Linked DNA regions of Drosophila melanogaster. The protein of the gene in region 1 purifies or fractionates together with the protein of each later gene. This does not show direct contact. Each region holds a gene or a part of one and is shown in the gene's direction. Other genes may lie near its edges.

Evidence for each region.
Region 2: the proteins of Tob (region 1) and orb purify together in Drosophila melanogaster (affinity purification with western blotting, with the first as the bait; one study listed by BioGRID). This does not show direct contact.

What each region holds. Positions count from the first base shown.
Region 1 is NC_004354.4:16,088,214-16,093,490, reverse strand, and holds the start of Tob (transducer of ERBB2), read left to right. Parts: upstream 1-1,995; 5' UTR 1,996-2,344; intron 2,345-4,123; exon of another isoform or gene 4,124-4,230; intron 4,231-5,277.
Region 2 is NT_033777.3:23,277,545-23,282,719, reverse strand, and holds the start of orb (oo18 RNA-binding protein), read left to right. Parts: upstream 1-1,863; 5' UTR 1,864-2,289; intron 2,290-3,161; 5' UTR 3,162-3,643; coding exon 3,644-3,661; intron 3,662-5,175. Other genes in the region: Cdc16 (cell division cycle 16), read right to left, coding at 1-36, 106-363, 423-705, 760-1,270, 1,334-1,429.

The sequences.
Region 1 (5,277 bases):
TTGTATAACATTGGTTCCTCCCATTGAAGGGTGTTATTTCTTCTACAAAGTTCCAGCTCAACCTAAGAGACAGACCCATCCAAGTCCGTCAATAAAGCAAAATCAATTTCCTTTCAACGAGTTTATCAATAATCCTTTTGAAACATTAAATTTCGCTACAAATTATGTATTGATATATACATAAATATATATATTTGTGATACCTATACTAATATTTTTTTTTAGTCTAGAAAAATAAATTATTGTACCATATTAGGTATTCCTGGAAAGCCAATTTAAAAAAAAGAAATCCTATAAAACTGATAAAAATCGAAAATGTAAAGGAAATCCATATTTTTGTATGCATGTTCGTTCAAAATCTAAGCGTATATATTAATAAATGTATAAATGTGTACCCCAAATGTTTTGCGATGAAATAAATAAAAATCCTTCAATTTCATTTAGTACTTCTTTATCTACCAAACATTGAAAAGGTTTTCACCATTCTTGATTTAAATATTTGAAAAAAGGGAAAGTAAGAGTATCACAATATTTCTTACTATTCACGACGAATATACATGCACATACATATGTACATACACAGGTGTGACCTTTCACCTTTTTGTTCGAGCTAGGTCCACTCTAATGTACATATACATATTACCTCTGGGTGTATGTACGCATATGTTACGTGCTCATGCACTTTCATTTCTTGTCCCAGTTTTCGGAAAAGGGAAAAGGGGGGGAGGGGTCCGAGCCAAAGCCCAAAGAGAGCGACTCGTTTTGTCGGCCAGAGTGGTGGAAGAGGAGGAGGAGGGGGGGGGCTGTACTAAAACTGTGCCACGGAAGGATATGCACTCATTGCGCAAGCCCTTCTAGGCTCGATTTTACTACGAGCACAACCAACACACGCCCACACACTCCTCCAATCGTCCAGTCACGCGCAAAATTATTCAGGGCATCCGAGCGATGTAAAAGCAAGGTGAAGTTTAAATACCTTAACAATCGCAAATCCATATTGAGAACTATCAAAATAACTAATATTTACTTAGCTAGGATTTCCACAAAGTAGGCATTATGATTTCACACGATGATCTTATGAGGTTTAGTTACTATTAATATATAACATAACTTTTTCAGAATATCATATTGATATTGCAAATTTAAGTTAGACTATGATTTATAAATAAACTATATTTAAAATGACTAAAATAAAACTACAACAAAGCAAGAAAGTAAAAGTTTTCAAAAGCTTTAAACTGATATTTTAAATATTTCAATCCTAACTTGCTTTTAACTAAAGTATATCATGTTTATGTCGACACTTTTCCCAAACCAATATGGGATGTATATATTTACATCGGTTGCTAAATTGAAGGTAACAAATTTTAGTCATATTACCACCTTTTCGGATATAATTTTGTCCAGGGAAAAGCACCCACACAAAAATATGATGAGTGCAAGCAGTGCTGCCAATTTTTTTCAAGAACAATTTTTTTTTTTGCCAGTCGAATCTCATATACCCTTGCAGTAAATATAAATTTAAAAAACTGGTCTATAAAAAAGTCAAAACAATTTATCAAAACAAAAATTGATTAAAAACAACAAAACTATGATTTCTTGTTTAATATTTTCAATTATATTTCCGTCTGTTTGGTGTTGGGCTCTTGGACAGTTAGAATTACCGGTGCCCGCTTAAATATTTATTTTATTTTAAGCAATCCACCATAGACGGGAAAAAAGCTAAATTGACAACCGTGGGTGCAAGTACCAGACAGAGAGAGAGAGATAGGGAGAGGGAAAGAGAGAGGAAGAGAGAGAGTGGGAAGCCGAACCGAGTTTAGAACATTTAGCTTCGTGAGTGATTCGTGCGTAGTGCCGAATAAGACCAACACGGTGGTGAAGGTGGGGGTGCTGGTGCCGAAGTGTGCGTGTGCACTTGTTTGTTGTTGGTTCACTGAGGCCCGTTCGCGCGTCAATTCAGTCTCAGTTACTAAACCGATTTCAAGAACTACGGACGCTTCGCTCGGCCCTTGCTAAGTGGCGTGTGCTACAATTAAGTAACGGGCAGAGACATTTCACAACAACAACAAAAAATAGGAAAATAGAATACAACAAGAAATACAAAACCAAAAACCATCAAAATCCCAATAAAACCAAACCACATTAAACAAGAAAATAATAAATAGACATCCGAGCACATATACCCACGCAAAAGTAAAACAATAGCATACTAGTTGGTACAACTGGGGTATTTTATACATAACTCGCTAAATCCTTCGTTTAATACAACGACCACCAGGAGGAAACAACCAAAAACTACAGTAAATCGGAAACAAGAAATAACCATCAGCAAACTGCACCGGTAGTTAAAAAAAAAAAACAAATAAATGTTGAATTACAATTTTTTATCTATTTTGTTCGAAAAAAATATTGCAATATATTTGTGTACTTGTGTGTGCTGTGCAAAAATTGAGAAAGCAGCGAACTATCCCCCACTACACATACATCTATCTAGCCCCCACAGAAAATACAATAACAATGATTGTGATATAAAAAAAAAAAGAAACGAAAAAAAAAGAAAACAAAAAAGGAGATGGAGCATCGCTTCTCTCACTTTCGCTCGGCTGTTTTCATACTTCTTGTTTTGTTGTCGTTAGTTATGGCGCTCACTAGAGCACTGGGCTTTTCAGCGCCGAAAGGGACAGCTGTTCTTCAATAAATTTGGGTAGAGAGAGAGCTCGACTCCAGGGAACGAACTATAACTCCCTTTCCTATGCATTCAAACTTTCGTAGCTCAAAAGATGAAAGAGCAAACCGAAGGGTGCACAAGATTTGAATACCCAAAGCTTTTACAGTAGGGTACTTTAGTTGGCTTGAGCTCAGATTATTAAATACTATATATGGATATTGATTTGTTAAGAAGTTTGATGTAAATACAAATCGATCTATCTTAATCTAGCATATCCCAATTTGTTGTCGTAATTCGTGCTTAAAAGCTATAGCTAGCAGCTGATATTTGCGTTAGCAAGCTCCAAATACAGTACGCATTCTTTAACTTGACCATTTCACAATTCTGTTCAATAAATAATTCAGAGTACATGTCGATACCTCATGTTATCAGTGTTATGAAAATTTCATCCCACTATATATAACTTTGACACCTCTGAAAATGTTCGTGCTAGACAGGTTCCACTGTACTTTCTGCACAGTCTTCTATAGTTGTGTTGCACAACAAAAGACGAATTTTATAATAGTACATGTGTGCGATTTCATTTGCGCAAGCTTTTGTTTTTTTTTTATTTATTTATTCATCTGAAACAACATCGATGATTCGATAGCAATTGTTGCAAGTTTGAGAGCATAGTGACCACCGACTGCAGCTGCTTTTGCATTTCTGCCAAAGAACGAATGAAATGAAATAATTTTCGACCAAACCAAAAAACGAACTTGTGCCAGACAAATACTATCGCGTCAGAAGACCATCATTTGGCATTTTGTCGCGGTGTTCGTCGCAAGCTTATTGTATCTACTTGCATGCATACAGGGAAAAAATAGTATTCAAAAAAAAAAAAAAAAAAATTATATTGTGTACTGTACACACTCAAATGTGTATTGTATAGACAGACATTCCGGCATGGCAGTGTATTTGTCATTTCAATTTTCGTGTGTGCTCAGATAAACGAACGAGAATCATGTGCCTAATATTGTTTTTTTTTTTTTTATTTGTTGTTTGCTGTTGTGAGGTAAAATGTCCCAACATCTTACGAACAGCTGACTGTGTTTATGTGTCCTCATATGATTATGTTGCGTTATGCTTCAAATTTTGGCAAGTGAAGTGCATGGGTGAACATAAAAAAAAATAATAATAATACAGCAACAAAATTAAGAGGAAGTGAGAAAATGCCAATAGTTCAGGCACACAAACTCATACGCAGTTTGTCGGTCGGTCAGCTGTTTTGTGTTGTCTTGAGCACCAGGGTCTCTCATTTTTCTATTTTTTTTTTCTTGTTGTTCCCCCACTCTCTATCTCTCTTTTCCTCTCTCTCTCTCTATCTCTCTCTCGCCGTTGAAATTATACCCCTGCGCCAGTCGGGGAAAAATTAGAGCAACGCTTGCTCCACAACGCTCGATAAAACTGCGGGAAAGAAGGCTGCAAAGCAATAACTAAAAATAATTTGTGATGATCTTGTAAATTGAAGTACTGCACAATGTCTACAATCCACAAGTTTCGAATGCACAATATAACGTGTGAGTGTGATTTTACCACTAAGCGCTGCAAGGAAATTCCCCTAAAGCTGGTTATGCAATGTATTGAAAATCGTAGAGCATTTCTCTTTTGTTTGTTGTCGATAAAAATATACCTATCTAGTGCGATACAATTCAGCGCGCAGTAAACATTGAGTCCAGCCAGATCTTTATATATGTACATATGTATGTACATATCCCCACATTGGCTTTATGTAATGGGGCCCGGTAATTACTTCGCTCGGTCACATTTTCGTTTAGATTGGGCACTTCAGACCCTTCAGTTGCAGTGGTAATCAATTCAACGGCATTAATTACACTCTGCTATGCAAAATATGAATGCAAATCGAATGGGGAAAAAAACAAAATATAAAACAAATGTAAAATACGATTGTGAGCACAACATTAGCATAAACCCTACCAAAATTACAATTACATTCAAGAGAAACTGTTAATCTCGAAGTTAATCGAAAATACGCTAATTCCTATGTACCTATGTCTGTATTTAGTTACTTGAAATGGACATCTGTACAAAAACGAACACAGCCTCTCACAACATTTTCCTTGGAGAAACCACCTGTATTAGAACCTAAATAAAAAACAGATGATTATAAAATATACAGCTGTATGAGCGTTTGTGTAACCTCATCTAATTATCTTCAAACAAGCAAGCTGATTTCCTTTAGCAAATAGTCGTACTTTAAATACCCTTTGTTACCTATTTCGCAGACACGCAAATTGAAAGCTTAACTTAATTGATTCCAATTTCGCTAATTTGAAGACAAAAGCGTAGTCATAAACGAATTGTGCTGTGTAAATAAAAACAAAACTACTTACACTCAAAACAAAAGTTTAAGATGCAATTTTGTTATACGTTCTTTTTAATTCCACTAATTAATGCTTCTAACAATTTGTATATATCAATAAATATGCGATGAACTGCAGAAAATATGCAACTAAAAAATGTTTTAAAATAAGATTTAAAGATTTCTGACTGCATAATTTTGAGACCTTCTGCTAGATTTACAAATCCTAGGTACTTCTAAAGGT
Region 2 (5,175 bases), on another chromosome or scaffold:
AGTGCAGTGTTATGAAAGGGATCCACCTTAAGGAGTCTATATATGATAAGCAAAACCAAATACATTTTTGATCAATATAAGTCTTTTACGCCGTTCTTCACTTACTCATTGAGTATTTTCAGGCACTGTTTGTAGTCGCAGTCGTAGAAACACTTCTCCGCCTCAGCGGCCATTAGGTCAGTACTACGTTGTACCCGATCAAGACATTCAGCGATAGGAATTAATGTGTCCGTGTCATGATCACGCGATCGCCTCCTACTGGATGAGTCAAACATGGACCGGTGAGAAGCATCAATGAGGGAAGAAGCCTTTGAGAGACTAGTTTGTAGGGAAAATGTGGGCGCCTTTAGATCTTCCAGGACTCTTAAAGATACAACTTCAATAAGAATGCGCTAAATATTAGAAATATCAGGAGAACTGACTTCTGTGCGGGCGACATGAACTGGCTGGGCGTAAGCGGCACCTTGACGGCGCTCACCTTGGGCATTTGTGTGTCTGACGACCCGCTCTGCTGCACTCGAGCTGTAAATTCCTTGATAAACTGGAGTATGTCAGGATTAACAATGGGGGACATCTCCTCAGCATTGCGTGCGGAAATCAACTCGTAGTACTTCTTCAGGCGAGATTCATAAAGTTTTAGTATAAACTTGGCATCAGCTTCGCTGGATTGTTGTGCCAGCGGTAAATGATGCATTAGCTCAAACTCTGCAATGATTAAGTTGAGATTATACTGTATTCAGAAAGTAGGTGCATGCTCACCTTCCCAAGCCATCAGCATTTCGTGTTGAACCAGCGCCTCCAGGGCCTCAAAGCAGTATATGGATTTGTGAAGGGCCTGAACATAGAAGTCCATTGCCATGCCGCGATTGTCCAGGGCCTCATAAACTTTGCCCTTCATTAGGTAAATGGATGAGAGCAGTTCATTTCTGTGATTCTCCTCGCCACCAAAGACACTGTTGCTTTCCAGATAGCAGCCACTGCTTGCATCAACGGGCTGGTTGATCAGCGATGTGGTCATGACTTCCACCTCCACATTCTGGATGACATTGGCCGCCTCGGTAAACTCCTTGGCCGCATAGAGACTTTCCAGTAGTAGGTTAAAACATGGCAGTGAATTCTTCTCTAGCTTGTGATGCTGTATTGTGTGAGCAGCACGATGGTATTCCCCCAGTAGGTACATGCACTGCGCCTGGTAGTAAATATCCCTGGGTTCCAGGCCACCAAGCACGGCCACCTTTTCTGCCCAAAAAAGCGCTGTGGAGTAGCGACGCTAAAAATGCAATTGAATTTGCACTCAGGCTCTGCTTGCCGGCTTTTGGTTTTTTTGTCTTACCATGTCTATGAATTGTTTGACCAGCTGCCGGTACAAGGCCAGGTCGATGTGTTCATTGGTGGTGTCAGTGCTTGTGTTTTCCGTGTCCCCGGGCATTTTTATTAACGCAGAATTGTATTTTTGTTATAAATTTGATACAAGTTTTCCGCCGCTGGTAATAACTCATTTGAACATAGTGGCAACTCTGTGCAAAACAGCTGTATTGTTGCCATTCACTGGAAACAGTTGTTTACGCCAGTGAAAAAAATTTGGTTGCTGTTAATGCTTTACCAATAAGTAATAAAATTAATGGAAATATAAAAATTATTTTAAAACCAAAACTTTAAATGAAAATACAAATTAAATAAATTATTTAAATAGTTCAGCCATTTGTGCGAATTTTAATGACTGTTTCTTTTTTTGTCGAGGAATCGTCGAACACAAGTTGTTTCAAACAAATGAGCGCTTTTAAGTTCAAGAGAGCGGTTGCATGCGGTTGGTTCGACAGAGCCAGGCGAAAAAGGTTATTTAAGCAGCGTTGCACGCCGTGGCGTGGCCATAATATCAAAAAATCCCGACTAAAATTCCAAAATAAAAGATATCACGGGATGATAATTTAGTTTGTTCTATTAATTTGTATTGCCGCGGCAGGGTCCGCTCAAATTTAAGGCTCAATTTTAAATTCGAGTTAATGTGGTGCCATACCACAGTCGCAAAGATTTTCAACAATCAAAATAGTTTAATAGTAAAAAATGCGTCCGTGAGTGAGTAGTTTGGCGAAACAGCATCGGAAGGAGAAACGGAAAACGGCGAAGGGCGTGCAAAGCAGAAGTAACGGTTCCTGGCGGCGTGTGTGCGAGTGTGTGTAAAAATGTGCTTGGTGGACGACAAAAGAAACGGGATGCGATTGCAAGTGCGGAATTAAAATAAAATTCACACGAATTTATGCGCCATCCGCGTGTTTTTGCGAGTCCTGGGTATGTATTGGTGTATCAGTGTTAGCCGGCACTAGAAATTGTTGACCGAAAAATGGTGCAGTTCAAATTAGTTGGTAACAAGAAGGTGAAGAAAAACAGGGCAGCGGCTCATTTTTCGTTCTCTCATTCTCGACGTGCGTATTTTACAACTTTACAACTACACACTACTATTATGTGCCGTTGGTCCTGTTTTTTTTTCTGTTGCCTTTGGCTCACGTCATCTCTCCAAAAACTACGGCAATCAATCGCCGCCTTGGCCACACAGAGGAAATGAAGCTGGAATTGCGCGGGGTCTTAATTCGTTAATAAAATGTAAGGTGTGCACAATAATAGATTTTTGGATTGTCCGGTATCAATTGAAAAGAAATATGAATAACAGTGCAATTCATGAAAGTATAGCAATTTTTCTTTCTGTGTGCACACTTATTCTTACTACCCATTATTCTACGCACAGAGCGCGAGAGTGAGATGGAGAGAGTAGAGAAAGGGCGAGACAGGGCTTGGCCCCATCTCCATCTCCATTTTACAACTCCAACTTCGCTGCCACTGCTCATTTCATGCTGATTTATGGCTCTAATAATAGGTTCGCTCAACACACAGCTTCCGAAAGGATTACCACCCGAAAGGATAATGCATAGTTTGTGTTATTGGCGGCCATAAAAGCCCCCTTTAAAGTAAACGACCCTGGATTACAGTTAATTACAGTTAGCCGGGACAGTGTCATAGAGAGTAGGAGAGAGAGGGATACGCCTTGATCGATTTACGGCATTTAACGCTCAAGTGCGTACGCGTGTGTTTTCTTTAAACTCCACTGATTTGGAAACTACAAAGAAGAGTACTCTTATAATTAATTCATGCTTATGATATTTCAGGCCTTTGGAAATTTGCATCGTTGACGAGGCGGAATGAATCGATGACTATTTGCTGCTGATACGGCCACATCTGCCAGCTGTCTTGGTTCGCCTTCGCCCCTCTCGCTCGCTCAGTCGCGTTATCCTGTGGAGCTCCAATAAACAACAACAAAAACCAGATTCCTTGCCCGAGGCTCGGCATCCAATTCAAACTCCAACCAGATCCAACACGAACTTGGACTCGAACCGCAGCGAACTCCAACCGAAAGGCCTGCGCAGGAGTGAAAGAGAGAGGGCGAGAGAGACGGTGCGCGAACGGGCTCTCCGCCGGCAGTGGGAGTGGGAAAGGGAAGGTACGAGAGGCGGAAGTGGTGACATCTGTTTTGCCGCTTTGTCAGTTGGCGGATGCTGCTCCTGCCGAACACGAACGAACGCGAACGAGCACGAACGAACAAGGAGCGCAACGTGAACAAGTGTGGAAATTGGAATTTTTATTCAAAACAATGCCCCTGCTGCAACAGGTATGTAAATAATAATAAAACCCATTCGCACTCCAGAGCGGTAATTGAAACGCTCACGTACGAATAAAGTCGGCTAGAGAGAAAGAGGGAGAGAGAGAACGACCGAGCGAGTGAGAGAGCTCTACATCAGCTGGCTTTTTCAGTTCATCTTCCCAATTGGGATTCGTGAGTGGCTGGCCCGGGATGATCCTAATAAGATTAGTGCCCAACTTTACGCCTACACTTCTGAGAGTTTTTCAAACCACCCCACCACCCACTGAAACAGCCCCATCCGCCAACGTCTGTTGCACATTATGAGTAGTTAAATTCGATTAAACTTGCGGCGTTTTCTGCGCCAGACACCACTGCGCCTCCTTTTCGTCCTTTTTGCCGCCGGGTGGGCTTTTAATTGTACTCTTTGTTGCGCAAAATAGTTGCGTGATTTAATTTTGCTCGCCTTTATATGTTTTTTAATTCACTTAAATGAGATGATTCGATTAGGACACTGAGCGGTACAGAAAAAGCGCAGAGAGCAAATGGAAGCATTGGAATAGCGGATAAAAAACAGAGCTAAAGTTGTTGGGCACGCTTTACAACTGCCATTAGTATCCAGATTTTTATGTCTTTAAAGATTCGTAAAAGTTTGTCTAATAATCTTAAAACTCCAGTGACAGTACAAGCAGACAGCTATTAGCCTCTTATGGCTCAAAATATTACATGTCCCTTCCTGAGTTTTTCTTTATCCTCTGGAAAATTAATTATCCTGCCTGACAATCCGCTTCATATCAATACACATCAAAATTATGTCAGTTGCGGCAATTGCCCTTCACCCCCAAATGTGAATTACATGTAATGATTACAATATCCTTTATGCTGATACGCACATGCTAACCAACCCGACGACTCGGCTCATGCCCCCGCCGACCCCAGACTTGATTTAAGCGATCCTAAAGCGACTGTCAATATGTGTGACAGGTTTTTTAAGACGCTTTCCCTCCTCGGCGGAGCACTTGGTCCCATTGTTGGCTACGCGGCCCGTTTGTATCCTTGCCACGTCTTCCGCCTTTGGAAAAAGTTGCTCATTGTCGACTGTGACAGGAGACCCGGACCCGTCTATTGCTCATCATTCAGGCATTTGACGACAGACGACGCACAGGGGTTGAGGAAAAGCCGCCTTGACTACGTCAATGGATTGGGGATGGCTTTCAAAGAGGCGGAGATGGAAACAGAGGTGGAGGATGAAGGATGGAGGTTGGTTCTGTGCTGCATCCATGGCCCGAGTTGGCTGACAATGGAGCTGCGCATTTGTTACAATGTTTACACAAATATTTAAGGATAATCCGACGATTTCAAAGGGGTTATTATGCAATTTTTCTTCTCATTTTATTGTGGCTGCCAGCGGCGGCAGCAAAATGGTAGAAAAAAAAGATCAAAATATAGACCCAACTGAATAACTAAATGCAAAATGTCAATTTCGTCGTGTAAGCAGTGTCTATACCCCCCCCCCCCTTCCCTTGCCGTATTGCTATACATTC